Anolis sagrei: one gene and its partners. The protein of the gene in region 1 purifies or fractionates together with the protein of each later gene. This does not show direct contact. Links are inferred from orthologs where the notes say so. Each region holds a gene or a part of one and is shown in the gene's direction. Other genes may lie near its edges. The genes, in order: CTNNB1, SMARCA4, YAP1 and PTPRU.

Region 1 (7,267 bases):
TCTTCGCATTTCATTTTTTCTGCCAAAGTGGAGTATCTTGCATTTTTGCTGCCTTGGGACAGAGAATAAAATGGGTTAGAATTAGATGATACATTCAGCGCCCACAAAAGACTTAAGGGACCCGCCCACGCCAGACAACTACAAATCTAAGTTGCACAACACAAACCGTTTTCTGTGTAGCCTGATTTAGACGTGAGTCCCGATGAGATTGCTATAGAGAGAGAGAGGGTCTGGCTCCTGCGTCAGGATGTGGATTGCATCTGGGCTGCAGAAGGAAACTCTGACTCCCCCCCCCCCTCCTCTTTTGGGTTGTATCCCCTCCAAGTAAGCTTCCTACTCCTCCCCTCCAGCAGTTTGCATAGGATTAATGGCATTAGGGATCAATCAAGCGAGAGCTATCTTAAGGCATCAGAGAGCTCTTTCTCTCTCTGAATCCCCCACCAAAGACCAGGATGAAAGGGCGGCGCGCGGGTCCGAGCGTCCCTCACGTGGCCTCCCTGCCCTTAGCCCCGCCCACTTACAAGGGGGCGGGGCTAAGGCTGTAAACAAAGCGCCAAATTGACTCTGGGATTGAGCCAATGCATTTTTTAATCGTGTCAAGAGCGAACCAAAACAGTTGTATTGCATTAAAAACAAACAAACCACAAAGTTTGCAGATTTGGTATTCTATTAAATGTCCTTTGACCAGTATCTGGCCACTTGGAGTGCCTCTGGTGTTGCTGCAAGAAGGTCCTCCATTGTGCATGTGGCAGGGCTCAGGTTGCATTGTAGTAAGTGGTCTGTGGTTTGCTCTTCTCCACACTCGCATGTCGTGGATTCCACTTTGTAGCCCCATTTCTTAAGGTTGGCTCTGCATTTCGTGGTGCCAGAGCACCTTCCAAATCACCCAGTTTTCTGTGTGCCCAGGAGGGAGTCTCTCATCCGGTATCAGCCATTGATTGAGGTTCTGGGTTTTAGCCTGCCACTTTTGGACTCTCGCTTGCTGAGATGTCCCAGCGAGTGTCTCTGTAGATCTCAGAAAACTATTTCTTGATTTAAAGCATTGACGTGCTAGCTGATACCCAAACGGGGTGGGCTGGAGATGTCACTGCCTTGGTCCTTTCACTATTGGTTACTACACCCCAGCAGATGTCAGGTGGTGCAATACTGACTAAAGTGTAATTTCTCCAGTGGTTTAGGGCACAGACACCCCGTGATAATGCGATATGCGGTTTGAGCCTGCCACTTTTGGACTCTCTCTTGCTGAGATGTTCCATTAATCTGACCTGATCACCATGCTCAATATATCCCATATGCATGGGGATATTGGGATAATGATACAAAAGGTTTGCTAGGGTAGATCCTCAGCCCCCTCCTAGAGCTTTGGAGAGCTTCTGTTCAACCATCTCAAAGCTCCCTGCTTGAGCAGTAATGGCATGATCATCAGCATAGATGAAACTCTGTCCCTTCTAGCAATGGCTGGTCATTTGTGTAAATGTTGAACATTGATAGAGCAAACACGCTCCCCTGAGACAGGCAGTTCTTTGGCCCTGGAACTCAACAAAAAAGCTCCTCTATTGTAGCAGAATACTATAGTACAAGGATCAGTCTCAGCAATTACCCTACTAGGGGCCACTCAATTCTAGGGTCAATTAAAGGACTATAAAAAAAGGTCTAGGCCAGAAGAAAAGGTGCCCTCAGATGACCTGGAACTGGGGAATGAATGGAGTACAAGGCCAACTCCTAACTGTTGGACCAAGGGCTTGAAACTAGTTCTTATCGAAGGCCTGATGAAACCACCAGGTCTTCAAGATGTTACGGAAGGAGGTGAGGGATGGGGCCAGCCTTATCTCCTTGGGGAGTGCGTTGGGGGGCCACTACCAAGAAGGCCCTCTCTCTTGTCAGCACCAGCCAGGCTTGAGACAGTGGTGGGAGCGAGAGGAGGGCCTTCCTGGTGGATCTTAGTGTCTGTGCCAGTTCATAGAGGGAGATGTCGGTTCATAGAGGGAGATAGGTGGGGCCCGAATTGTTTAGGGCTTTAGATGAATTTGGCTCAGCAACTTATCGGCCAAGATGCATTAATCCTACAGTTGATCAGGCAAGGGCAAACTTGGGCCCTTAAGCGGCTGAGGGGGGAAAGGAAGGGGCCTGAGGCTGTTAGGAATGGTGGGAGCTGAAATCCAAAACACTTGGAGGGCCCAAGTTTACCCATGTCTGTTGTAGATATACTTCCCTTCATCTTTTCCTTCCAGGCCTCAAAATGGCAGGCTCTCTCATGTGGAAACACTTCCCATCCACTTCTCTTGTTGACTTTCCCGTTCCAGCCTGGAGTGAAGTTTGGAAACATGTGGGGGACTTTTGTTAGGAAGTTTCCCACACCTTTTTCTGTTTATTTTGACTTTTGAAGCCCTTCTGCTCCTTTCAAGGCCTTCTATGAAGAGAACGCACTAATGTAAACACAGCAACTTGCCTTGTTGAAAGGATAGGGAAGAAGCGCCTTCTTTGGAGGCTTCGAAACAGAGGCTGGGTGATGGCCAGTTGTGCTTTCCCAATTCAAACTGGATGATCCTTGAGAGAGGCATGAGGATGGAAGTCTTCTGGAGTTTGAAAGGAGTGGCAAACAATATTCATATCTAGCAACATTTTTATTTTATTTTGTAGCAAAAGCATTGCATGAATTAGTATAAAACTGATAAAAATAGAAGGCTCACAGGCGGCTAAATATCTTTTGATTCAAAACGGGCAACAGCAATGGCATTGTCTATAGCCTCCAACAATTCCTCCTCTGTACATGAGACAGGGCACAGTGGACAAACATACAGATGTGGAGTTGTCTGTTCCACTCCACAGTCACACAAGCAACACTAAAAAGGCTTGGAAAAGTCAGGAGGTAAGACAAACTTTTGAATTCCTTCGTTTTTGTTTCCTCTTCGCGGATCCTGAGGGAGACATAACATCCCAAGTATTTGCTGGGTTTCCCTGAAACGACATGATTGGGGACTACAAGTGCTGGTTTTGACCTATAAAGCTCTATACCAGTGGTTCTCAACCTGGGGTCCCCAGATGTTTTTGGCCTACAACTCCCAGAAATCCCAGTTAGTTTACCAGCTGTTAGGATTTCTGGGAGTTGTAGGCCAAAAACATCTGGGGACCCCAGGTTGAGAACCACTGCTCTATACGGTTCTGGCCCAGCTTATTTGTCCGAACGCATCCACCCCTACATCCCACCGCATAGGAGGCCCTGCTCTCGCTCCTGTCAACAGCACAGAGGCGTCTGGCGAGGACGAGAGACAGGGCCTTCTCAGCTGTGGCTTCCTGCCTATGGAACACACTCCCAAATGAGGTAAGATCTGCTCCCTCCCTCCTGGCTTTTAGAAAAAAATTAAAATCATGGTATTGGGACCAGGCCTTTGGGCAGTAGAAGGAAATGTATGCAGCATTTCAGAAAGACAATGACTGGAATGGCGATTTGACTGACGAAACTGTTTTATTGTTTTAACGATTGTTTTATTACTTGTGGATGCACTGTTTTTAACTTGATTTATGTCTAATTGTTTGTTGTTCATTCGTTCAGTCGTTTCTGACTCTTCGTGACCTCATGGACCAGCCCACGCCAGAGCTCCCTGTCGGCCGTCACCACCCCCAGCTCCTTCAATTGTAGTGTATAATTTTAATTGTTTGTAGTGGCATTGAATTTTGCCATTACTTATGTGTAAACCGCTTTGAGTCCCCCTCGGGGTGAGAAAAGCGGTATACAAATACTGTAAATAAATAATAATAAAAGAAATACAAGTCTTCTGGTATAAAAACCATACTAGGATGCAAAGGGGTGCCTGTAGCTTTAAAAAAGGAGGAGGGGGGAAAGAGAGAGAGAGAAGCCAGGCTCTGCAGCCCGCGCTCGCGCCTCTCTCCCCTCAGGTTGCGGGAAGCCGCCTCATTCCTCGCGTAGAAAAAGGTGTCTCTCTCTCTCTCAGTTCCCAAAAGTAGCCCCCTCCGCGCCTCATTACACTCGGAGGCGAATCCCTGCACCCTCCCGCGCGCTCCCACAATCCCTTTCCTTCTCGATACACACTGAAGCTCTTCTTTTCCCCTCACTTTATCTCCCTCCGCGTTTAGTTGCTTCCTAGAGAGAGAGAGAGAGAGAGGGCGCGCGCGCCTCTGTGTGTGTATGTGTGCGCGAGCACGAAGCAGGCCGCTGATTGGGCGGAGCGGGGACTATTTTCTCTACCTTGTGGAATGCTGCGCGCGCGCGCTCGGGGCTCGTCGGCGGCAGGATACACAGAGAAGTCTACACCCTCACTATAAGAGGCTCCTGGTGAGCGGCGCCATTTTAAGCCTCTCTCTCTCTTGGTTCGGTGGGAGCGACGGCGACGGGGGGAAAAGGACCGTTCCGGGCGAGGTGAGAAGCGGGGGAAAGAAAGGGGGTTTCCGTCGCCTGACGCGAGGGATAAAGGGTTCGCGGTTTGCTGCAGCTTCTTTCCTTTCGGGGGCTTCCTCTCTCCCCCTTCGCGCTTCCCCTCATTCCTCAGAGAAACTTGGGCTTGGTCGCACTACTTTTCCTCCTTGAGGTTGGCGGAGGGAGCAATAATAAGGCAGCGGTGTGTTCCCTACAGGAAGTGAGTGGATTTTGGTGTGTTTTGGAGGGAGGGGGAGATAAGTGTGAGGCGGGGAGAAATGGCAAAGTGAGTGGGGCAGAACTTGGGGAGGGAGAGAAGGAGGGAGGGAGCGGTTGAGGCAGGAAAGGGGGAGAGTTGGGTCCGAGAGGGGGAGGTCCCGGCGTGTTTGCTCCCATTTTGGGGGGTGGGTGAGTGAGTGAGTGGGTGGGACGGAGCTACCCCCTCCTCTCGCCCCTTGTGTGCCCGCGATGCAAGTTCTCGCAGTGGGATCGCCTTGCACAAGGGCCGCTCCGTGCCTTGTTTGTTGTCCTGCGGTGGGGAGGCTTTCTCGGCCTGCGTGTTGTACTTTCTACGGTGTTGAGGCGAAGGGAGGTTTCCAGGCAGCGATCCGCCCCAACTCTCTCCTTCCTCACGCGGATCCTGGAGGTGGGGATCCCTGCAAAAGATCTCCTCAAACCGCAATGCCTCGCGAGCGGGCGCCTTGCACGACATGGGATTTGGGAGCCCTTCCGTCCCGACTTCCTGGCGGGGTGTCGCCTCCAAACCTCCAGCGAGGGGCGGGGGGAGGGGATGGGAAATCGTCTCGGGTTTGTTTGCATTGTGTGCAATGAAGTTCCTCTTCTTTTGGCTTTGGTTCAGGTTGCATACTTTGCGGGAGGGGCGCTCTTGGTTGCTGGAGCCCTGAAAGTGTACTATGCAGGCTTGCACGGCTTCTGTGCAGGATCCGACTAAGCACACCATGTTTTGTAGCTCAGTTTAAAAGTGTAGATGTAGGGCAGGTTTCGATGGCTTCTGTGCAGGATCCGATTAAGCACACTATGTTTTGTAGCTCAGTTTAAAAGTGTAGATGGTAGATGTACGGCAGGCTTCGATGGCTTCCGTACAGGATCCGACTAAACACACCGTGTTTTGTAGCTCACTTAAAAAGTGTAGATGTAGGGCAGGCTTCGATGGCTTCCGTACAGGATACGACTAAGCACACAATGTTTTGTAGCTCAATGTATTGTCGAAGGCTTTCATGGCTGGAATCACTAGGTTCTTGTGGGTTTTTTGGGGCTATATGGCCATGTTCTAGAGGCATTTTCTCCTGACGTATGCATGTGAAACGTCAGGAGAAAATGCCTCTAGAACATGGCCATATAGCCCCAAAAAAACCCACAAGAACCTTTTGTAGCTCAGTTTGAAAGTGTAGATAGTAGATGTAGGGCAGGCTTCCGTACAGGATCCGACTAAGATCACGGTGTTTTGTAGCTCAGTTTGAAAGTGTAGATCAGGCATGGGCAAACTTTGTCCCTCCAGGTGTTTTGGACTTAAATTCCCACAATTTCTAACAGCCAGAGGGGGAGAGTGTGGGATGCCTTCCACGCAGCTGAATACAATCCCACATTTATTTTGTTTTGAACTGGAATATGTGGCATTGTAGACTCGGACAATCTAGTTCAAAGCAGATATTCTAGGATGATATTCTGGGTTATATTGCTGTGTGGAAGGGCACTTGGGAAGCCATTCCCATTCCAGGGAAATGTACTATTTCATTTGTTGTCTCCAGCAGGGGAAAGTATCCCAAGGCTTGTTTAGACATCTCACCTGGAAGATATTTTGGGACTGTTGGTCCTGCCATTTAATTTGAAATTGCATTAGCTATGAAAGTTGATTTATCCCCTCCCCCATATTTAGAGGGAGGGGTGTATCTGCATATTACTTTGAGAGCCCTTCCACACTGCCATTCATCCCAGGATCTGATTCCACATTATCTGCTTGAAACATGGAATATATGAGCCCCTACTGCCAGATAACCTGGGATAATCTTGGGGCCCTTCCGTACAGCCATGTAACCCAGAATACCTTCTTTGAACTAGAATATGTGGCAGTGTGGACTCAGATAACCCAGTTCAAAGCAAATATTGTGGGTTATTCTTTTATATTCTGGGTTATATGGCTGTGTGGAAGGCCCCTTGGATCAGATTCTGGGATAAAGGGCTTGTGTGGAAGGGTCCTGAGAGTACTGCTATGACTTATGAAAAGCTGTTACCTAAATACATTAAATCCACAGAATTGTGCTTTCTGTCTTTCAGGTGTATAAAGAAGCTGTAATAATTTAGTACTGCCTTTAAAAAGAGCTCAAGACATGTGTGTCAATGGGAATGTAAAAACAAATCTAGATGAAGTTGTGATTTATCAATAAGTGTTTTCTAATGGTATTTCCTGATATCTTGGAGTAACAGTACAAGCCTAGGTATTTCAATAAAACTTCAAGCATAATTTTAAATATTCCACTATGCCCAATCAAAGTTGGAAATGTTTGCATTCCTGACCTGAATGCCTAACCTAACTTGAGGGCGTTGCCTTGTTCCTGCAGTTTAAGTAGCAATTTTGGAAGCTGCTAAAATAGTGCAGTTCTCAGCAGAAAACTATGTAACACGTTTGCTAAAGTATTTTATGCCTGTCTTTCACTGTACCTAGAAATGCTCCCCTCATAATACAGCATGTTTATAAGATAAATTTATCTAACTTGATAGTTGACTCCTTCCTGTATAGATATATAGATCTCCTTCATAAATCCACAGATTATATCAACAACAAAAATGAATAGTTGTTTAATCCATAATCTTCAGTGAAATAATCATCACTGAGTACTTCAAATTAGCAGTACTACCACGGAAAAATAACAT
Region 2 (7,586 bases), on another chromosome or scaffold:
TTTCCCCCCTCAGCTGTAGGTTCTGTGATGTTTTTTTTTCTCCCCTTTTTAATAGTTTGAGTTAATGTTTTCTGATTTTTTTGAAAACAAAATAAAAACTTATTTGCATTGAAAGCTATGCAACACTCGTTCAGTTCTGAAAGAAAAACATGGAGACATGGAGGTCCTTCACACTATGAGCTGCAGATCCAGTGTGGAGTGGTGGTGTGAGCGATGGACGGGTAGACTGCGTGGCTCGTATAACTCAGGGCGTGTTGAGGCCTGGTCTGAGGAGGAGGGGGATCCTTTGGAAGTGGGGCCTTGTGCTCCTGAATTGGAGCCTGATGTGGAGTCTGAATTGGAGCCCCCCATAACTCCGGGACTGCCAGTACAGTGAAAAGATGGATAAAACAAAGGGTTGTTGTAGGTATTTTTCCGGGCTGTATGGCCATGGTCTAGAGGCATTCTCTCCTGACGTTTCGCCTGCATCTATGGCAAGCATCCTCAGAGGTAGTGAGGTTTGTTGGAACTAGGAAAAAGGGTTTATATATCTGTGGAATGACCAGGGTGAGACAAAGGACTCTTTCCTGCTGGAGCTATTATTATTATTATTAACTTTATTTGTACCCCGCTAGCATCTCCCGAAGGACTCGATGCGGCTTATAAAGGACAAGCTCTCAAAACACAACATAACAATACACAACCAAGGTGTGAATGTTTCAACTGACCACCTTGATTAGCATACAATGGGCTGACTGTGCCTGGAGCAAACTTTTGTTGAGAGGTGATTAGATATGCCTGCTTGTTTCCTGATTGTTTACTCTCTGTTGTTGTGCTGTTGTAATTTTAGAGTTTTTAATACTGGTAGGCAGATTTTGTTCATTTTCATGGTTTCTTCCTTTCTGTTGAAATTGTCCACATGCTTGTGTATTTCAATGGCTTCTCTGTGTAGTCTGACATTGTGGTTGTTGGAGTGGTCCAGTATTTCTGTGTTCTCAGATAATATGCTGTGTCCAGGTTGGTTCATCAGGTGGCTGATTTCTCTGGTTGAAGTAGTCTGCAGTGCCTTTCCTGTTCCTTGATTCGTGTTTGGGCAATGCTGCATTTGGTGGTCCCAAATGCAGAGAACAAAATCAACCTCTGTACATGGCATTCATCGACCTTGCAAAGGCATTCGACACAGTGAATCGCAGCGCTCTCTGGACCATCCTCCAAAAAATCGGGTGCCCAAACAAATTTGTGAACATCCTGCGGCTCCTCCATGATGACATGATGGCAACAGTTTTGGACAGCAGTGGCTCCCAAAGTGACCCATTTAAGGTGGAATCGGGTGTCAAACAGGGATGTGTTATTGCCCCAACTCTATTCTCCATCTTCATCACTATGATACTTCACCTTGTTGACGGGAAGCTTCCCATTGGAGTGGAAATCATCTATCGGACAGATGGCAAGCTATTCAACCTCAGCAGACTGAAAGCCAAAACCAAGGTCACAACAACATCTCTTATAGAACTCCAGTATGCTGATGACAACGTCGTCTGTGCGCATTCAGAATAAGATCTACAAGCCACTCTAAACACCTTTGCAGAAGCATACGAGAAGCTCGGCTTGTCATTGAACATTGAAAAAACCAAGGTGCTTTTCCAGCAGGCACCAGCCAACCCCTCTCCAATGCCAGTGATACAGCTTAATGGTGTAACACTAGAAAATGTTGATCATTTCCGCTACCTTGGCAGCCACCTCTCCACCAAAGTCAACATCGACACCGAAATACGTCGCCTGAGCTCTGCAAGCGCAGCATTTTTCCGAATGAAGCAGAGAGTGTTCGAGGACCGGGACATCCGTAGGGATACCAAGGTGATTGTTTATAAAGCTATTGTCCTCCCAACCCTGCTCTATGCCTGTGAGACGTGGACTGTCTACAGACGTCACATGCAACTCCTGGAACGATTCCATCAGCGCTGCCTCCGAAAAATCCTGCAAATCTCTTGGGAAGACAAGCTGACAAATGTCAGCGTGCTGGAAGAAGCAAAGACCACCAGCATTGAAGCGATGGTCCTCCACCATCAGCTCCGCTGGACCGGCCATGTTGTCCGGATGCCTGACCACCGTCTCCCAAAGCAGTTGCTCTACTCCGAACTCAAGAACGGAAAACGGAATGTGGGTGGGCAGGAAAAGAGATTTAAAGATGGGCTCAAAGCCAACCTTAAAATCTCTGGCATAGACACTGAGAACTGGGAAGCCCTGGCCCTTGACCACTCCAGCTGGAGGTCAGCTGTGACCAGCAGTGCTGCAGAATTTGAGGAGGCACGAGTGGAGGGTGAAAAAGAGAAACGTGCCAAGAGGAAGGCGCGTCAAGCCAACCCCGGCCGAGACCGCCTTCTACCTGGAAACCAATGAAGAAGAAGAAGATGCAGAGCAAGAATAGGGCTCCACAGCCACATACGGACCCACAAGAATATTGGAAGACAATCATCCTCGGAAAGCGAGGGATCGCCTAAGTGAAAGTGAAGTAAGGTCCCTATGTAGACTTGTACACAGCTGCATGGTACCCGGTAGACTCCTGCAGAAGTGAGAGGATCCCTCTTGTCCTTTGCTGAACGTAGCATTTGTTGGATTTTCTTGGTGGGTTTGTAGATACTTTGTATGTTGTGTTTCCTCATCAGCTTCCCTATGCGGTCAGTGGTTCCCTTGATGTATATTTGTATGATCCCTCTTGTCCTTTGCTGAACGTAGCATTTTTTGGATTTTCTTGGTGGATCATACACAGAGGCGGCCCTAGGTACTTTTCAATGGTAAGCAAACAGTATCCCCCCCCCCCAACCAATCACTGATATATATTTTCTGTTCATCGTGGGACTTCTGTGTGCCATAATTGGTTCAATTCCATCATTGGTGGAGTTCAGAATGCTCTTTGATTGTAGGTGAACTATACATCCCAGTAACTACAACTCGCATATGTCAAGGTCTGTTTTTCCCCAAGAGTGCTTCAAGAGTGCCCCTGGGCAAAATCAACTATACTGCAAATGCTTACTTTGCGTAATGGGTTGAGACGCCCCTGATCATACACATTAAAATACAGTCAAGGTAACTTTGGTGGGCCTCGTCCTTGAGTGGCTGCATCTTTTCCTCAGTTTTGTGCCTTCCTGTGTGATATTTCTGTTATATGATATATGATATGTCATTTCCTTGTTGTTGTTCATTCGTTCAGTCGCTTCCGACTCTTCGTGACCTCATGGACCAGCCCATGCCAGAGCTCCCTGTCGGCCGTCACCACCCCCAGCTCCTTCAAGGTCAAGCCAGTCACTTCAAGGATGCCATCCTTCCATCTTGCCCTTGGTCGGCCCCTCTTCCTTTTTCCTTCCATTTCCCCCAGAATCATTGTCTTCTCTAAGTCATTTCCCTGAGGGAAAAATAAACCTCTCAAAAATGTGCACATCGCCTCAGAGAGGCCCCTAAAATGTTCCTTTCCTGAGCAGTCTGGTTTCACGGAAAGGATTCCCATTTCTGCACGTTTTGAGATGGGCCTAATTCTTATTTTGCCAAGAAATAAAAACATGGGTTGTTGTAGGTTTTTCGGGCTGTTTAAACAAAACATGAACACAGAGAGGTGTCAATGTCTTGTCAAAGGCTTTCATGGCTGGAATCACTGGGTTGTTGTAGGTTTTTTCGGGCTATATGGCCATGTTCTAGAGGCATTCTCTCCTGACATTTCGCCTGCATCTATGGCAAGCATCCTCAGAGGTAGTGAGGTCTGTTGGAACTAGGAAAAAGGGTTTATATATCTCCAGAAAGACCAGGGTGGGACGAAGTACAAGAGTCAACCCTTCTTTTTAAACAGAGGCTGGATGGCCATCTGTCGGGGGTTATTTGAATGCGATGTTCCTGCTTCTTGGCAGGGGGTTGGACTGGATGGCCCATGAGGTCTCTTCCAACTCTTTGATTCTATGATTCTTCCTAATGTCTTTTAAAGGGATTTACTTTGGTGTCACCATTGTCCTTTAATCTAATTTCAGAACACTTTTTGAAACATTTTCTTTCTAGGAAAATGGGTTTATATATCTGTGGAATGACTGTGGTGGGGCAAAGAGCTCTTCTCTGCTGGAGCTGGGTGTGAATGTTTCAATAGAGAGGTAAAATCCTCCCTTCAGAGCTCGTTGCCTGCCTCGCAAATCCCCCTTCCCCCAATATTCTCCTCAGCCGCAGTGGTGGCCGCAATGCGCATGCGCACCGACGCCGCGGCCGGCTGGTTGGGGGGATGGGCACAGCCCTCGCGCTGCCAAAGCGCGCTCCTTTGCCTCGCGAGGCGCGCCCCCGTACGACTGGGAAGCCCGCCCCTTTCTCTACGTCATTGGCTGAGGCAGAGACAAAAGAGGAGGAGAGACATATTTGCATTCAAAGAAGCATAACAGGCCGCGTCACTTATGGGCAGAGAAATAGCAAAGGCCGGTGTAGAAATGTAAAGCGTGTCGCTATTGGCTGTTAAGAGAAAGCCTCATTCTCTAGACTTCCCGCCCATCTTTTCTGATTGGCTGGCGCTCGGAGTCTGAGTCTAAGCGAAGGAGGCGGGCGTAACACCCTGAGTGAGGGTTGTGAAATCCGCTCTGATTGGTGCGTCGAGAGGGAGCCTCGTTGAGCCGGTTAAGGAACGCGCAAAAGAAAGAAAGGAAGAAAGAAAGCCTGTGGGGAGCGCGCCCACGCGAGCCCAGCAGGAGGCGCGCAGGCGAAGGGCGGGGGAGGAGGAGGAGGAGAGAGCATCTCTTTGAGAGACGCAGGCAGTCACCTTCTTCTTTGTTCGCCGTCCCCGCCCGCGCTGGAACTCCTGGGCCGCCCGGTAAGCGAAAGGGCGCCGCGGGAGGGGATGGGGAGGGTGGATTGCGCATGCGCGGGGATGGCTCGCTGAATGAATGAGTGCAAGCCCGTGTGGACGGACCTGGGAGAGGGCATCGCGGGTGGGAGCATCCCACCTGAAGAGGAGGAGGAGGAGGGGGCGGGGAGAATTGGAAGGAAGCAGAGCATCCTTAGCCGGAATCTCACCTTGGATGGTAAGAGGGTGAACGTGTGAATGCCTGTACCCGTGTCTTCCTATTCCCATCCTCCCCCTCCTCTTTTCTCCCCTTTTTATTGCTCTTATTTCAGCCTCTGAAATATATAATCAACTCATCCATCATCAACATCATTATTATTATAATATTGTGAATGTGAACATTGACATATTTTGACAACACTATGATTAAAAATATAATAATAACTAGCCGTCCCCTGCCACGCGTTGCTGTGGCCCACATCAGGGTTCTGTGGCCCAATTCTATCGTTGGTGGGGTTCAGAATGCTCTGCGATTGTAGGTGAACTATAAATCCCAGCAACTACAACTCCCAAATGTCAAGATTCTATTTTCCCCAAACTCCACCAGTGTTCCCATTTGGGCATATTGAGTATCTGTGCCAAGTTTGGTCCAGATCCATTATTGCTTGAGTGCTCTCTGGATGTAGGTGAACTACAAAGCCAAAACTGAAGGTCAATGGCCATCAAACTCTTCCAGCGTTTTCTGTTGGTCATGGGAGAACTGTGTGCCAAGTTTGGTTCAATTCCATTGTTGGTGGGGTTCAGAATGCTCTGCGATTGTAGGTGAACTATAAATCCCAGCAACTACAACTCCCGAATGTCAAGATTCTATTTTCCCCAAACTCCACCAGTGTTCACATTTGGGCATATTGAGTATCTGTGCCAAGTTTGGTCCAGATCCATCATTGCTTGAGTGCTCTCTGGATGTAGGTGAACTACAAAGCCAAAACTGAAGGTCAATGGCCATCAAACTCTTCCAGCGTTTTCTGTTGGTCATGGGAGAACTGTGTGCCAAGTTTGGTTCAATTCCATTGTTGGTGGGGTTCAGAATGCTCTGCGATTGTAGGTGAACTATAAATCCCAGCAACTACAACTCCCAAATGTCAAGATTCTATTTTCCCCAAACTCCACCAGTGTTCACATTTGGGTATATGGAGTATTCGTGTAGAGTTTGGTCCAGATCCATCATTGCTTGAGTGCTCTCTGGATGTAGGTGAACTACAAAGCCAAAACTGAAGGTCAATGGCCGTCAAATTCTTCCAGTATTTTCTGTTGGTCATGGGAGAACTGTGTGCCAAGTTTGGTTCAATTCCATCATCGATGGTGTTCAGAATGCCCTTTGATTGTAGGTGAACTACAAATCCCAGCAACTACAACTCCCAAATGACAAAATAAATTTTTTTGAGTGGAGAACATACATTGGGTTGTTAGGTGTATTGTGTCCAAATTTGGTGCCAATTGCCCCAGTGGTTTTTGTGTTCTGTGGATACCACAAACGAACATTACATTTTTATTTATATAGATTTGAGCCTCTGAAATATATACTCATCCATCATCAACATCATTATTATTTGGATTTTTAAAAAAGAAAATATAATATTCCGAATGTGAACATTGACATATTTTGACAACACTATGATTAAAAATATAATAATAACTAGCCATCCCCTGCCATGCGTTGCTGTGGCCCACATCAGGGTTCTGTGGCCCAATTCTATTGTTGGTGGAGTTCAGAATGCTCTTTGATTGTAGGTGAACTATAAATCCCAGCATCTACAGCTCCCAAATGTCAAGATTCTATTTTCCCCAAACTCCACCAGTGTTCACATTTGGGCATACTGAGTATTCATTTATTATTTATTTAAAACATTTATATTCTGCCCTTCTCGCCCCGAAGGGGACTCAGAGCGGAGCACAACATATACATGGCAAACATTCAATGCCTGGGTACAATACATAAACATTAAAAACATTTATCTAAATATTAAAATACACCATTTAAAATAACACAATTTAAAACCGTCCTAACCATCCGCATCAAATCCAATTGGCCCTGTCATCTTCATGTAGAGTTTGGTCCAGTTCCATCATTGTTTGAGTCCACAGTGACCTCTGGATGTAGGTGAACTACAACTCCAAAACCAAAGGACGCTGCCCACCAAACCTTTCCAGTATTTTCTGTTGGTCATGGGAGAACTGTGTGCCAAGTTTGGTTCAATTCCATCGTTGGTGGGGTTCAGAATGCTCTGTGATTGTAGGTGAACTATAAATCCCAGCAACTACAACTCCCAAATGTCAAGATTCTATTTTCCCCTACCTCCACCAGTGTTCACATTTGGGCATATTGAGTATTCATGTAGAGTTTGGTCCAGATTGAATTGAATACTTTATTTGTATACCGCTCTTCTCAGCCCTTAGGCGACTCAGAGCGCTTAACAACAGTTTCAGTATACACAATACAAAATCATTGGGCATTTAAAAGCAATAGCATCAGAAATCATTAAACATCAGCACCAATACATCAGTACATCAATACAACAAATATAACAAATCCATCAGGTCTCATCAATGAAATCAGAATCCAAACTCGTTATCCATTATTCCGTGTTCCGATAATCAATCACTCATCCAGATCCATCATTGTTTGAATCCACAGTGATCACTGGATGTAGTGAACTACAACTCCAAAACCAAAGGACACTGCTTTCCAAACCCTTCCAGTATTTTCTGTTAGTCATGGAAGAACAGTGTGCCAAGTTTG
Region 3 (7,998 bases), on another chromosome or scaffold:
ACAATAAGTGGAAACTACAGCTAAACCTGAAGATAAATGTCCTAATTATATGAGCAATGTAATAGTGAAACAGCCTGCCTTGGGAGGTAGAGGCCTTTCCGTTGTTGTTGTTGTTGTTGTATGTCTTCAAGCTTTCCAGTGCATGATGACTCTGTCATTTAGTTTTTTTGGCAGGATTTGTTCAGAGGGGACATGCCTTTGCTTTCCTCTGAAGCTAGCATGACTTGCCCAGGGTCACCAAGTGGGTTTCCATGGTCAAGTGTAGATTCAAATCCTGGTCTCTCAATTCAGCACCAATGCTTAACACTACACCATGCTAGCTTGCAGACTTTTCTTGACTTGGAGATACTTAAGCAGATGCTGAACCAGGTGCCTGACACTGAAGATGGTACATGACCGGGTTGGATTAGATCAGTGGTTCTCAATCTGTGGGTCCCGAGGTGTTTTGTTCTACAACTTTCAGAAATCCCAGCCAGTTTACCAACTGTTAGGATTTCTGGGAGTTGAAGGCCAAAACATCTGGGGACCCACAGGTTGAGAACCACTGGACTAATTTCTAGTTGTGTTTTAGTTCTTTGGTTCTAAGAGTTTATCCAGAAATTCTAAATACTCCAAAACCATCCTTTGTATGACAGAGATAGTGTCACCTTTGGTTTCCTCAAGGTTTAATGTACACCAGGTTTGTTTCATGCACAAAATTATTAAAAATATTTCATGCACAAAATTATTAAAAAGGTTAGCTTCAGACTACGTGTATAATGAGATGTATATAAAGCATACATTGGTTTCTTGTTTGGATTTGAATTCCAACATCAAGATACCACATAATGTACATATATACAAATATAGGCATTTCAAAATCCAAAAGAAATCCGAAATGAAATGCTTCTAATTCTTTCAAATAAGAGATACATAACCTGTATATTTAACAATAACCACAGTTTGCCTTGCTTTGGACATAAACAAAAATCACAATTAATTAGGAAAACAAGCAGCTTATTTCAGTCATCTCCTCATATTTGGGTCACATCAAGAGGGAGTGGTTTAGTGTTACACATAAAAATCAAGCATTTTATTTATAATAATAATAATAATAATAATAATAATAATAATAATAATAATTTGTTTTCCGCTCTATCTCCCCAAGGGGACTCAGGGCAGATTATATCCTACCTTTTGTCCAAAAATGGGGTTCAAAAGCAGGACAAGAGTGCTTAACTCAATTTAAACCAGGCTCTAGAACTCTTTCACAAATGAGTACTATCCATTATTACATTATATTAATGCTATATACTTTTTCTTCCAGGATGCTCATGGCCTTTGTTATCCATCATCGAACAGACATGAGCAGAATTTTGCCTATTTGATCGTGAATCCTTTGAAACGGCACATTTATGTTTTGTATCATTCTTACGGCGGAGCTTTGTTCTGTAATTGACTGGGTTTGATTCCTCAAGTTTATTTGATGAATAGATGAATTCTCCTTAGATATAGATTTGTCAGGATTCTGTTCTTTTCAAAGAGATCTATGTTATCTACACACGTTTTCCCCTTCCCAGAAATCTAAGGTACTCAGTATGGTTTCAAACACATATTTTGTATTATTAATGTTACAGACTTAATACCCATATCAATACTTGTGCAATGTACTATTTGAAAAGTTTTGCTGTTGCTGAATTATATCCTGCCTACAAAGACTCTTATTTGAAACTATCATAATAACATTTACATTTGTGTTTTCTTAACCATAAATAAAAACTTTTTAAATGTTGTGTACATACATTTTGAGTATGAAATAGCAATTTTAAACTATGAAAACATATAACTATTGGTTTGGAATTTGATTGATGAGTCTGTTGTTGATGATTGATGGGTCAAGAAACAGTTCTCAGTTCAGATTGCTTATGTGGTCCTAAAGCAGCAATAATTTTATAATTAATGAGGGAATTTTTAAAAAAAGAGAAAGTGAACCCCAACATTTTGTAAAACATTTTGTTTGTTTTACACTGTAGAAGTGATGCAGTTTGGTACTACTTCAACTCCCATGGCTCCATGGTATGGAATGATGGGAGTTATCATTTTTACAAGGTCATGGGGAGGCATGGGCAAACTTGGGCCCTCCTTCCAGGTGTTTTGGACTTCAACTCCCACCATTCCTAACAGCCTCAGGTCCCTTCCCTTTCCCTATGTACAGAGTTGCCTTTTTTACACAGTTGCCTTTTTACACACAGTAGCCTTCACACTGGAGCTTCTTACACAAAGTCTTCAACCTGATTGTTTTTAAATGTTTTAATTGTTTTAATGTACTTTAAAATTATATTTTAATATTTATTTAACTGTACATTGTGTTTTAAGGCATCAAATTGTTGCCTTTTTGTAAAGCCGACTTGAGTCCCCTCCAGGGTGAGAAAGGCAGGATAGAAATGTTGTAAGTAAATAAATAAATAAACCTGGGGCTTCTCTCACCAGGCTGTCCTCACACCAGGCCTCTCACACACTGAGGCCTACTAACTCTGAGGCCTACCTGACACTTGCTGCCAGTTTGCTACCGAGCACAATCCAAAGTGCTGGCTTTAGACTATAAAACCCTAAATGGTTCTGGCCCAACTTACATGTCCGAATTTATCTCTCCCTATGAACCATCTAGGAGTTTAAGATCATCTGGGGAGGCCCTGCTCTTGATCCTGCCTTCTTTGCAGATGCAACTGGCGGGGCCGAGAGACAGGGCCTTCTCAGTGGTGGCCCCTCAACTGTGGAACTCCCTCTCTAGGGATATTAAATGAACCCCTTTCCTCCTGACTTTCCACAGACCAGTGAAAACATGGCTATTTGAACAAGCCTTTGGGAATCTAGTACAATAAATAAACACGGAAGTATGTGAAATCAAATACTGAAACAGCTTAGACAATGTTTTTGGACGACGAGGTTTTATATGTTTTTAAAGGTTTTAATGTATGCATTTTATAAATCAAAAAAAATATTGTAATTTTTACATTGTTTTAACGGCATCTAATAGCTGCCTATGTTGTAAAGCCATCTTGGGTCACCTTCAAGTTCAAGAAAGGCGGGATAGAAATATCGTAAATAAATAAAGGGCTTGAGGCTGCTTTTTTTCTCGTGTCAGGCGCGACTTGAGAAACTGCAAGTCGCTTCTGGCGTGAGAGAATGGCTGCTGGGAATGGTGGGAGTTAAAGTCCAAAACACCTGGAGGGAGGGCCCAAGTTTTCCCAGGCCTGGTCTTTAGCTTTCTGTGCGAGAAGCTGCTGGTGCCTCACCAGACTGCAAATCCTTGGATTCCATTGCATTGTGCCATGGCAGTTCAAAGTGGTGTCAGGTTGTGACAATTCTTCACCCTGAAAGCATGCCACCTTCATCTTAGCTGCTTACTTAGGTGATCTAATTCAAGGTGCAGGTGCTTACCTACAAAGCCCTAAACGGTTTGGGACCTGCCTACCTGCGTGACCGCATCTCCGTTTATGAACCCACGCGCTCCCTTCGTTCATCCGGAGGGGCCCTGCTCGCGATCCCACCTGCGTCGCAGGCACGTTTGGTGGGGACGAGGGACAGGGCCTTCTCTGTGGTTGCCCCCCAACTCTGGAACACCCTCCCCAAAGACATTAGACTAGCACCCACGTTGGCAGTCTTTAGGAAAAACTTGAAGACCTGGCTATTCAGATGTGCTTTTCCGGAATAGGATAACCCCCACTATGTCCCAGAAGCACTTTATTAGAGTTTAAGACTCTCTGCACATTGCACTTGCCCAGAATCCCAACATACTACCTCTCACAGCCAGCACTTTTTAACCTGTACCCATCACTGGCCCAGCCCTGGTTTTTATTGCGTAATAGTGTAATGTTTTCTTATTGCTTATGTTTTTAATTTGCTTTGCATCGTATTGTTATTGTTTGCTGTTGTTGTGTTGAGGCCTTGGCCTTTGTAAGCCGCAATGAGTCCTTCGGGAGATGCTAGCGGGGAACAAATAAAGTTTAATAATAATAATAATAATCCCTCGTTGTCGGAGTAAGGTTGGTTTACTGGCAGTTGGTACGTAGGTGACTGTGGAGCCCTATTATTGATCTGCATGTTCTCCCGCAGTGAGGGCATCGGTTTCCAGGTGGAAGGCGGTCCCGGTCGGGGTTGGCTTCATGCACCTTCCTCTTGGCATGTTTCTTTCTTTTGCTCTCCATTCCTGCTTCTTCAAATTCTACAACACTGGTGGTCACAGCTGACCTCCAGCTGGAGCGCTCAAGGCCCAGGGCTTTCCAGTTCTCAGTGTCTATGCCAGAGTTTGACATTGAGTTTATTAAGGTTTACTTTTGAGCAGACAATAGTTAAGATTGCAGGCTGTGATTTATTTTGGGGGGAATAAAGAGGTAGGGTAAGCAAGGGTTGATTCTCCACCAAGCTTGCTAGAGAAGCCTTGCTGCAAAGCAACCACAGAACACAAAGTCCTGGCAATGATTGCAGAGGTGTCCTTTCCCTCCCCTTCCCTTCCCTCCTCCTCTTCCATGGGGGCTTTGAAGCCTGGTGGGTTGGGGTCTTGTTTCCTTTCCCCCTCCCTTTCTCCTCTTTTTAATGGTGTGTGTGTGTGTGTGTGGGAGGCGAAATACTCCCACTTTCCCCTCCTTTTCGTCTCCGTGGGAGGGTTGGAAAACTTTTTTTTTTTTGGAGGGGGAGACAGGATGAGGAGGGTGGGTAGAAGTATAAAATACACGGTTCCTGGACACTAGTGGAGGCCAAGAAAACGACTCGGGCGGGTTTGCTTGAAAAACGACTAAAAATAAAAACACAACAATTGTCTCAGCTGGAAAAGAGGAAAAAAAGAGCCACGAAAGTAAACGTGAGGGAATCCCAACACATTGAAGTCTTTAAATCAGTGCAAAATTGCTTTTAAAAAAATCAGAGTGGGCGGGCGCGTGAAAGGAGAATTGAAACAGAGCCTCCTTTAACTCTGGCTGGGCTGCATTAAGCCCCGTCGAAATTCGGCGCGGGCGGGCCCTCGCGGGGCGGAGCTGGCTCGGGCGGGCGACTTTGGGAACTTTTGTTTGGCAGCGTTTGAGCTCCTGATCAACGACAAACAGGGACGTCGAGGCATTATAGATAGATCTATACATCTATTTTCTTTTTTTTCCTCAAAGCTGGGACGGATTAGAGGAGAAAATTGTCGGGAGAGTTGAAAAAATTTTGCGTGCGAAGGAAGGAAAAAAAAGAATCAAGAACTGATTCCTACAGAATTGACTCGGGCGGGCGCCTTTGCGAACTTTTCTTTAGGAGTCAGTCAAAGAGATAATTGAGAAGTAACCAACTTATATCGGAGTTGGGACGGATTAGTGAAGGAGGAAAGGAAGATTGCAGTGATTGCGATTGATTGACAGGCGGCTTGGAGGAAAAATTGCTCTGAAAGGATTTCCGCGCGGCCGGGCGCGAGAAGAGGGAGAAAAAAAATCTTCAGTTTCTGCGGCCGGGCTACATTGAGTCGCATTAGAGGCGGAGTTCGGCGCGGGCGGGCTAGTTTGCGAAGTTTTGTTTTGAGCTCGGCTGAAGGAGAAAAAAGAAGCAAGCGAAGGTTTCGGGGGATGAAAGACGGCCAGCCGGGAGCGGAGGCTTGAGAGAAGCAGCCGAGGAGGGGGAGAGGAGGAGGAGGAGCCCCGTCGCCCGCCATGGAGGCCTCCGCAGCGGGGCAGACCCCTCCGCAAGCCTCGGCCCCGGAGAGCGGCGGCTCCGGGCAGCAGCAACAGCCGCCTCCGCCCCCGCCGCCGCCTCCGGCCGGACACCAGATCGTCCACGTCCGGGGAGACTCGGAGACCGACCTGGAGGCCCTCTTCAACGCCGTCATGAACCCCAAGGGCGCCAACGTGCCCCACACGCTGCCCATGAGGCTCCGGAAGCTGCCGGACTCCTTCTTCAAGCCGCCAGAGCCCAAGGCCCACTCCAGACAGGTGAGCGGGAGGAAGGGGCGCCCTGGACACTGGGCATTGCAAGTACCTGCTGAGCTGGAGTTTGGCAATCCCTACTCTAACCTCCTGGGGTGCATCTACATGTAGAACAGGCATGGGCCAACTTGGGCCCTCCCTCCAGGTGCTTTGGGCTTCAACTCCTACTATTCCTAACAGCCTCAGGCCCCTTCCTTTTCTGGGAAGAGTAAAAATGCCTCTGTGTGAGAGAAGTTTCACTATGAGGAAGGCCTGGTGTGAGAGAAGCCCTGTGTGAGAAAGCTCCACTGTGAAGGCTGTTGTGTGTAACGCTACAAGGTCTTTAGCAGGTATGGGCCAACTTGGGCCCTCCCTCCAGGTGTTTTGGGCTTCAACTCCTACTATTCCTAACAGCCTCAAAGTTTCACTATGAGGATGGCCTGGTGTGAGAGAAGCCCTGTGTGAGAAACCTCCAGTGTGAAGGCTGCTGTGTGTAAAGCTACAAGGTCCTTAGCAGGTATAGGCAAACTTGGGCCAGGTGTTTTGAGCTTCGACTCCTACAGCCTCAGGCGCCCTCCTTTTCTGGGAAGAGTAAAAATGCCTCAGTGTGAGAGAAGTTTCACTGTGAGGATGGTCTGGTGTGAGAGAAGCCTTGTGTGAGAAAGCCCCACTGTGAAGGCTGTTATGTGTAACACTAGAAGGTCTTTAGCAGGTATGGGCAAACTTGGGCCCTCCTGAGGAAGGCCTGGTATGAGAAAGCCTATTAAAAGAGAAGCCTTGTGGGAGAAAGCTCCAGTGTAAGGGCTGTTTTGTGTAAAACTGCAAAGTCTTTAGCAGATATGGACAAACTTGGGCCCTCCCTCCAGGTGTTTTGGGCTTCAACTCCTACTATTCCTAACAGCCTCAGGTGCCCTCCTTTTCTGGGAAGAGTAAAAATGCCTCAGTGTGAGAGAAGTTTTACTATGAGGAAGGCCTAGTGTGAGAGAAGTCTTGTGTGAGAAACCTCCAGTGTGAAGGCTGCTGTGTGTAAAGCTACAAGGTTTTTAGCAGGTATGGACAAATTGGGCCCTCCCTCCAGGTGTTTTGGACTTCCAACTCTCACCATTCCTAACAGCCTCAGGCCCCTTCCTTTTCTGAAAAGAGTAAAAATGCCTCTGTGTGAGAGAAGTTTCACTATGAGGTAGGCCTGGTGTGAGAGAAGCCCTGTGTGAGAAAGCCCCACTGTGAAGGCTGTTGTGTGTAAAGCTACAAGGTCTTTAGCAGGTATGGGCAAACTTGGGCCCTTCCAAGGAAGGCCTGGTATGAGAAGGCCTGGTATGAGAGAAGCCTTGTGGGAGAAAGTTCCAGTATGAGGGCTCTTTTGTGTAAAGCTGCAAGGTCTTTAGCAGATATGGACAAACTTGGGCCTTTCCTCCAGGTGTTTTGGACTTCCAACTCTCACCATTCCTAACAGCCTCAGGCCTCTTCCATTTCTGCAAAGAGAAAAATGCCTCAGTGTGAGAGAAGTTTCACTATGAGGAAGGCCTGGTATGAGAGAAGCTTGTGTGAATGCTGCTGTGTGTAAAGCTACAAGGTCTTTAGCAGGTATGGGCAAACTTGGGCCCTTCCTCCAGGTGTTTTGGACTTCCAACTCTCACCATTCCTAACAGCCTCAGGCCTCTTCCTTTTCTGCAAAGAGAAAAAATGCCTCAGTGTGAGAGAAGTTTCACTATGAGGAAGGCCTGGTGTGGGAGAAGCCTTGTGTGAGAAACCTCCAGTGTGAAGGCTGCTGTGTGTAAAGATACAAGGTTTTTAGCCGGTATGGGCCAACTTGGGCCCTCCCTCCAGGTGTTTTGGGCTTCAACTCCTACTATTCCTAACAGCCTCAGGCGCCCTCCTTTTCTGGGAAGAGTAAAAATGCCTCTGTGTGAGAGAGGTTTCACTATGAGGAAGGCCTGGTATGAGAAGCCCTGTGTGAGAAAGTCCCACTGCGAAGGCTGTTGTGTGTAACACTACAAGGTCTTTATTAGGTATGGGCAAACTTGGGCCTTCCAAGGGAGGCCTAGCATAAGAGAAGCCTTGTGGGAGAAAGCTCCAGTGTGAGGGC
Region 4 (7,478 bases), on another chromosome or scaffold:
AGCTATAGTTTCCCCAAACCCCATCTGTGTTTATATTTGGGCATATGGAGTATTCGTGGCAAGTTTGGTCCAGATCCATCATTGTTTGAGTCCACAGTGCTCTCTGGATGTAGGTGAACTACAACTCGCAAACTCAAGGTCAATGTCCACCAAACCCTTCCAGTATTTTCTGTTGGTCATGTGAGTTCTGTGTGCCAAGTTTGGTTCAATTCCATCGTTGATGGAGTTCAGAGTGCTCTTTGATTGTAGGTGAACTATAAATCCCAGCAACTGCAACTCCCGAATGACAAAATCATAATTTGTTGAGTGATGGTCACTCCTTGTGTTGTGAGACGTTTTGTTGCCAAATTTAGTGTGATTCTGTTTATTGGTTCTTTTGTTTTTAAGGTACTCATTATGCACAGACCATTTATATATATAGATAGATAGATGATTGGTTGGGGGGGGGCGCCAAAATACTTTTTGCTTGTTGTTGTTCATTCGTTCAGTCGTCTCCGACTCTTCGTGACCTCATGGACCAGCCCACGCCATAGCTCCCTGTCGGCCGTCACCACCCCCAGCTCCTTCAAGGTCAGTCCAGTCACTTCAAGGATGCCATCCATCCATCTTGCCCTTGGTCAGCCCCTCTTCCTTTTACCTTCCACTTTCCCCAGCATAATTGTCTTCTCTAGGCTTTGCTGTCTCCTCATGATGTGGCCAAAGTACTTCAACTTTGTCTCTAGTATCCTTCCCTCCAGTGAGCAGCCGGGCTTTATTTCCTGGAGGATGGACTGGTTGGATCTTCTCGCAGTCCAAGGCACTCTCAGAACTTTCCTCCAACACCACAGCTCAAAAGCATCGATCTTCCTTCGCTCGGCCTTCCCTAAGGTCCAGCTCTCACATCCGTAGGTTACTACAGGGAAGACCATGGCTTTGACTAGGCGGATCTTTGTTGCCAGTCTGATGTCTCTACTCTTTACTATTTTATCGAGATTGGACATTGCTCTCCTCCCAAGAAGGAAGTGTCTTCTGATTTCCTGGCCACAGTCTGCATCTGCAGTAATCTTTGCACCTAGAAATACAAAGTCTGTCACGGCCTCCACATTTTCTCCCTCTATTTTCCAGTTGTCAATCATTCTTGTTGCCATAATTTTGGTTTTTTGATGTTTAGCTGCAACCCAGCTTTTGCGCTTTCTTCTTTCACCTTGATTAGAAGGCTCCTCGGTTCCTCCTCGCTTTCGGCCATCAGAGTGGTGTCATCTGCATATCTGAGGTTGTTAATGTTTCTTCCAGCAATTTTCACCCCAGCTTTGCATTCATCAAGCCCCACACATCGCATGATGTGTTCTGCATACAAGTTAATAAGGTTGGGTGAGATTATTCAGCCTTGCCGTACGCCTTTCCCAATCTTGAACCAGTCTGTTGTTCCGTGGTCAGTTCTGACTGTTGCTCCTTGGTCCTTGTACAGATTCCTCAGGAGAGAGACAAGGTGGCTTGGTATGCCCATCCCACCAAAAACTTGCCACAATTTATTATGATCCACACAGTCAAAGGCTTTAGAATAGTCAATGAAGCAGAAGTAGATGTTTTTTTGAAACTCCCTGCCTTTCTCCATTATCCAGCAGAAACAACTACCATCCGGTCAGCCTCATGTCGATACTGGGCAAGATTCTGGAAAAGATTGTTAAGAAAGCGGTCTGCAAACACTTAGAAACAAATGCAGTCATCGCTAATAGTCAACATGGATTTATCAAAAACAAGTCATGCCAGACTAATCTGATCTCTTTCTTCGATAGAGCTACAAGCTGGGTAGATGCGGGGAATGCTGTGGATGTAGCGTACCTGGATTTCAGTAAGGCCTTCGACAAGGTCCCCCATGACCTTCTGGCAAGGAAACTAGTCCAATGTGGGCTAGGCAAAACTACGGTGAGGTGGATCTGTAATTGGTTAAGTGGACGAACACAGAGAGTGCTCACTAATGCTTCCTCTTCATCCTGGAAAGAAGTGACGAGCGGAGTGCCGCAGAGTTCTGTCCTGGGCCCGGTCCTGTTCAACATCTTTATTAATGACTTAGATGAAGGGCTAGAAGGCATGATCATCAAGTTTGCAGATGACACCAAATTGGGAGGGATAGCCAATAGTCCAGAGGACAGGAGCAGAATTCAAAACGATCTGGACAGATTAGAGAGATGGGCCAAAACTAACAAAATGAAGTTCAACAGTGACAAATGCAAGATACTCCACTTTGGCAGAAAAAATGAAATGCAAAGATACAGAATGGGGGAGGCCTGGCTTGAGAGCAGTACGTGTGAAAAAGTTCTTGGAGTCCTCGTGGACAACAAGTTAAACATGAGCCAACAATGTGATGTGGCGGCAAAAAAAGCCAATGGGATTTTGGCCTGCATCAATAGGAGCATAGTGTCTAGATCTAAGGAAGTAATGCTACCCCTCTGTTCTGCTTTGGTTAGACCACACCTGGAATATTGTGTCCAATTCTGGGCACCACAGTTCAAGAGAGATATTGACAAGCTGGAATGTGTCCAGAGGAGGGCGACTAAAATGATCAAGGGTCTGGAGAACAAGCCCTATGAGGAGCGGCTCAGGGAACTGGGCATGTTTAGCCTGAAGAAGAGAAGGCTGAGAGGAGATATGATAGCCATGTATAAATATGTGAGAGGAAGCCACAGGGAGGAGGGAGCAAGCTTGTTTTCTGCTTCCTTGGAGACTAGGACGCGGAACAATGGCTTCAAACTACAAGAAAGGAGATTCCATCTGAACATTAGGAAGAACTTCCTGACTGTGAGAGCCGTTCAGCAGTGGAACTCTCTGCCCCAGAGTGTGGTGGAGGCTCCTTCTTTGGAAGCTTTTAAGCAGAGGCTGGATGGCCATTTGTCAGGGGTGATTTGAATGCAATGTTCCTGCTTCTTGGCAGGGGGTTGGACTGGATGACCCAAGATCAGCCCCCTCGCTGATGGTATTCCGAAGAAGATTAAAAACCTGGATGTTCGAGCAAGCATTTGGTTAATTCGGTGCAATGAATGGGATGATTAAGGATTGGTAATATGGATGACGAAACTGGACCACGATTTTAGTTAAGAGATGCATTGAATAGTGATTTATGTGTCAACATTGTGTATTATGTTTTTTATGGTTTTAAATTGTATATTGTGGATTGTGTATTTTGTTGTAAACTGCGTTGAGTCGCCAGCTAGGCTGTACAGTAAATAAATAAATAATAAATAAAATAAAATAAATAAATAAGAGGTCTCTTCCACCTCTTTGATTCTATGATTCTATGATTGGCAATCTGGTCTCTCGTTCCTCTTCCTTTTCTAAACCAGGGCACTCATTATGCACAGACCATTTATATATATATATATAGATGATTGGTTGGGGGGGGGGGGGCGCCAAAATGCTTTTTGCTTTTTGTTGTTCATTCGTTCAGTCATCTCTGACTCTTCGTGACCTCATGGACCAGCCCACTCCAGAGCTCCCTGTCAGCCGTCACCACCCCCAGCTCCTTCAAGGTCAGTTCAGTCACTTCAAGGATGCCATCCATCCATCTTGCCCTTGGTCGGCCCCTCTTCCTTTTGCCTTCCACTTTCCCCAGCATAATTGTCTTCTCTAGGCTTTGCTGTCTCCTCATGATGTGGCCAAAGTACTTCAACTTTGTCTCTAGTATCCTTCCCTCCAGTGAGCAGCCGGGCTTTATTTCCTGGAGGATGGACTGGTTGGATCTTCTCGCAGTCCAAGGCACTCTCAGATCTTTCCTCCAGCACCACAGCTCAAAAGCATCGATCTTCCTTCGCTCAGCCTTCCCTAAGGTCCAGCTCTCACATCCGTAGGTGAGTACAGGGAATACCATGGCTTTGACTAGGCGGATCTTTGTTGCCAGTCTGATGTCTCTACTCTTCACTATTTTATCGAGACTGGACATTGCTCTCCTCCCAAGAAGGAAGCGTCTTCTGATTTCCTGGCCACAGTCTGCATCTGCAGTCATCTTTGCACCTAGAAATACAAAGTCTGTCACAGCCTCCACGGTTTCTCCCTCTATTTTCCAGTTGTCAATCATTCTTGTTGCTATAATCTTGGTTTTTTTGACGTTTAGCTGCAACCCAGCTTTTGCGCTTTCTTCTTTCACCTTGATTAGAAGGCTCCTCAGCTCCTCCTCGCTTTCGGCCATCAGAGTGGTGTCATCTGCATATCTGAGGTTGTTAATGTTTCTTCCAGCAATTTTCACCCCAGCTTTGCATTCATCCAGCCCCGCACATCGCATGATGTGTTCTGCATACAAGTTGAAAAGGTTGGGTGAGAGGATGCAGCCTTGCCGTACGCCTTTCCCAATCTTGAACCGTTGACAATTACCTAGGGCCGCCTCTGATTGTGAGTCCTGGGGCTGTCCTGCTCCTCGCTGGGCCAGCAGGGGGCGCCCGCTCCTTTCCCAGCCCCCTCCCCAAATCCAAATCCAACCCCACGGGCCCCCGCCCCGCCCCCTTCGCTTCGCCTGGGAAGCCTGACGTCACTTCGCCGCGGGGGGTTGGCTGTTTTTTTGGGTTGGTTTGGTGCGTGCCTGCGGAGGAAAGGCTCGGCTCCGGCTTCTCCGCCCGGAAGGAAAGGCACAACTCGGAGTCCGCAATCTCGGAGACCCCGCGCCACACAGGAGATCAAGGCGGATCATTATCAGAGTCCACACTGCCATCCAATCCCTTTCAGTTTGGCCTTGGGGCAACTTTGTGGGAAAGGCCTGCAAGCGGAGAAGATTGCGGAAGGAGAAGTCGGGAAGGAGGAGGAGGAGAACTTTTCTTGGCGGCTCGGCATGCAGGGCAACGCCGCCCGCGCCGTGCTCCTCGCGCTCGCCCTCCAGCTCTGCTCCGCCGAGACCGAGGCGCCCGCGGGAGGAGGAGGAGGAGGAGGAGCAGGTCAGTCCCTTCCCCCCCCTCCCCCTCCCTCTGCCCCTGCCCTTTCGGCGCCCTTTGGGGAAGGGGCCCACCTTCCCTCCCCTTCCCTACCTTCCCCATTCCTCCCGGTCTCTCGGGGCCCCCTCAGTACCTGTTTGGCCACCCACAAGATCTGCTTGGAGCTGGGTTATCTGAGTCCACACTGCCACATTTTATTTATTTATGTATTTACTTTATTTGTATACCGCACTCTCTCAGCCCGTAGGCGACTCAGTGCGGTTTACAACCAGGGCAATATACAAAGGTGCACAACATTAGCATTAGCATTTCAAAACAGTAACTAGAGCAGTGTTTCTCAACCCTTGAGGGGGTCGTGAGGGGGTGTCAAAGGGGTCGCCAAAGAACATCAGAAAACATAGTATTTTCTGTTGGTCATTGGGATTCTGTGGGAAGTTTGACTCAATTCTATTGTTGGTCGAGTTCAGAATGCTCTTTGATTGTAGGTGAACTATAAATCCCAACAACTACAACTCCCATATGTCATAGAATCATAGAATCAAAGAGTTGGAAGAGACCTCATGGGCCATCCAGTCCAACCCCCTGCCAAGAAGCAGGAGTATTGCATTCAAATCACCCCTGACAGATGGCCATCCAGCCTCTGCTTAAAAGCTTCCAAAGAAGGAGCCTCCACCACACTCCGGGGCAGAGAGTTCCACTGCTGAACGGCTCTCACAGTCAGGAAGTTCTTCCTCATGTTCAGATGGAATCTCCTCTCTTGTAGTTTGAAGCCATAGTTCCGCGTCCTAGTCTCCAAGGAAGCAGAAAACAAGCTTGCTCCCTCCTCCCTGTGGCTTCCTCTCACATATTTATACATGGCTATCATATCTCCTCTCAGCCTTCTCTTCTTCAGGCTAAACATGCCCAGTTCACTAAGCCGCTCCTCATAGGGCTTGTTGTCAAGGTCTATTTTTCCCAAACTCCACCAGTGTTCACATTTGGGCATACTGAGTATTCGTGCCAAGTTTGGTCCAGATCCATCATTGCATGAACCCACAGCACTCCTCTGGGCATAGGTGAACTACAACTCCCAAACTCAAGGTCAATGCTCACAAAACCCTTCCAGTGTTTCCTGTTGGTCATGGGAGTTCTGTGTGCCAAGTTCGGTTTAAATCCATTGCTGGTGGCGTTCAGAATGCTCTTTGATTATAGGTGAACTATAAATCCCAGCAACTACAACTCCCAAATGACAAAATCAATCCTCCCCTCAACCCCACTAGCACTCACATTTGGGCATATTGCGTATTTGTGCTCACTTTAGTCCAGTGAATGAAAATGCATCCTGCATATCGGATATTTACATTACAATTTATAACAGTAGAAAAATGACAGGTATCAAGTAGCAACAAAAACAATATTATGGTTGGGGGTCACCACAACATATGGAACGGCATAAAGGGGTCACGGCATCAGCAAGGTTGAGAACCACTGAACTAGAGCAACTAAATCACATAACAATACATCAGTACATCAATATAACAACAATACATCCATATAACTAATCCATCACGTCTCATCAATAAAGTCATAATCCAATCTCCTCGTCCATTATTCCAAGTTCCAATCTCAATCAATTGATTGCACTGCTTAATTAAACGCCTGTTCAAAGAGCCAGGTCTTCACTCTTCTCCTGAACGCCAGCAGGGAGGGGGCCGATCTAATGTCTGCGGGAAGGGCGTTCCACAGCCGAGGGGCCACCATTGAGAAGGCCCTGTCTCTTGTCTCCATCAGTCATGCCTGCGAGGCTGGCGGGATCGAGAGCAGGGCCTCCCCGGACGATCTTAATGTCCTAACTGGTTCATAGGGGGTGATGCGTTCGGACAGATAGGTCGGGCCAGAACCGTTTAGGGCTTTAAAGGCTAAAGCCAGCACTTTGAAATGTGCCCGGTAGCAAATTGGCAGCCAGTGGAGCTGGCGCAACAGAGGAGTGGTGTGCTCCCTGAATGCCGCTCCCGTTAGCAACCTGGCTGCTGCGTGCTGGACCATCTGAAGCTTCCGAGCAGTCTTCAAAGGCAACCCCACGTAGAGAGCGTTGCAGTAGTCTATACGGGATGTAACCAGTGCGTGGACTACCGTGGCCAAGTCAGACTTCCCAAGGTACGGGCGCAGCTGGCGCACAAGTTTTAATTGTGCAAATGCTCCCCTGGTCACCGCTGAAACCTGGGGCTCCAGGCTCAGCGATGAATCCAGGATCACACCCAAGCTGCGAACCTGCGTCTTCAGGGGGAGTGTAACCCCGTCCAACACCGGCTGTAACCCTATAACCTGTTCGGCCTTACGACTGACCAGGAGTACCTCTGTCTTGTCTGGATTCAGTTTCATCTAGTTCAGTGCTTCTCAACCTTCCTAATGCCACGACCCCTTCATTCTCATGTTGTGGTGACCCCCAACCATAAAATTTGTTCCCTTGCTGCTTCATAACTGTCGTTTTGCTGCTGTTATGAATAGTAATGTAAATATCTGATATGCAGGATGTATTTTCATACACTGGACCAAATTCGGCACAAATACCCAATACACCCACATTTGAATACTGGTGGGATT

The links.
Region 2: the proteins of CTNNB1 (region 1) and SMARCA4 purify together in Homo sapiens (affinity purification with western blotting; 3 studies listed by BioGRID and IntAct, with this or other methods). This does not show direct contact. The link is inferred for Anolis sagrei from reciprocal best matches to the Homo sapiens genes CTNNB1 and SMARCA4.
Region 3: the proteins of CTNNB1 (region 1) and YAP1 purify together in Homo sapiens (co-immunoprecipitation; 11 studies listed by BioGRID and IntAct, with this or other methods). This does not show direct contact. The link is inferred for Anolis sagrei from reciprocal best matches to the Homo sapiens genes CTNNB1 and YAP1.
Region 4: the proteins of CTNNB1 (region 1) and PTPRU purify together in Homo sapiens (affinity purification with western blotting; 3 studies listed by BioGRID). This does not show direct contact. The link is inferred for Anolis sagrei from reciprocal best matches to the Homo sapiens genes CTNNB1 and PTPRU.

Annotation. Positions count from the first base shown.
Region 1 is NC_090026.1:76,601,308-76,608,574, reverse strand, and holds the start of CTNNB1 (catenin beta-1), read left to right. Parts: upstream 1-4,264; 5' UTR 4,265-4,378; intron 4,379-7,267. UniProt on the Homo sapiens protein: Key downstream component of the canonical Wnt signaling pathway.
Region 2 is NC_090022.1:171,359,611-171,367,196, forward strand, and holds the start of SMARCA4 (transcription activator BRG1), read left to right. Parts: upstream 1-4,571; 5' UTR 4,572-4,813; intron 4,814-4,864; exon of another isoform or gene 4,865-5,024; intron 5,025-7,586. UniProt on the Homo sapiens protein: ATPase involved in transcriptional activation and repression of select genes by chromatin remodeling (alteration of DNA-nucleosome topology).
Region 3 is NC_090023.1:23,007,541-23,015,538, forward strand, and holds the start of YAP1 (transcriptional coactivator YAP1), read left to right. Parts: upstream 1-4,979; 5' UTR 4,980-5,660; coding exon 5,661-5,939; intron 5,940-7,998. Other genes in the region: CFAP300 (cilia- and flagella-associated protein 300), read left to right, coding at 1,307-1,438. UniProt on the Homo sapiens protein: Transcriptional regulator with dual roles as a coactivator and corepressor. Critical downstream regulatory target in the Hippo signaling pathway, crucial for organ size control and tumor suppression by restricting proliferation and promoting apoptosis.
Region 4 is NC_090034.1:64,386,780-64,394,257, reverse strand, and holds the start of PTPRU (receptor-type tyrosine-protein phosphatase U), read left to right. Parts: upstream 1-4,465; 5' UTR 4,466-4,795; coding exon 4,796-4,898; intron 4,899-7,478.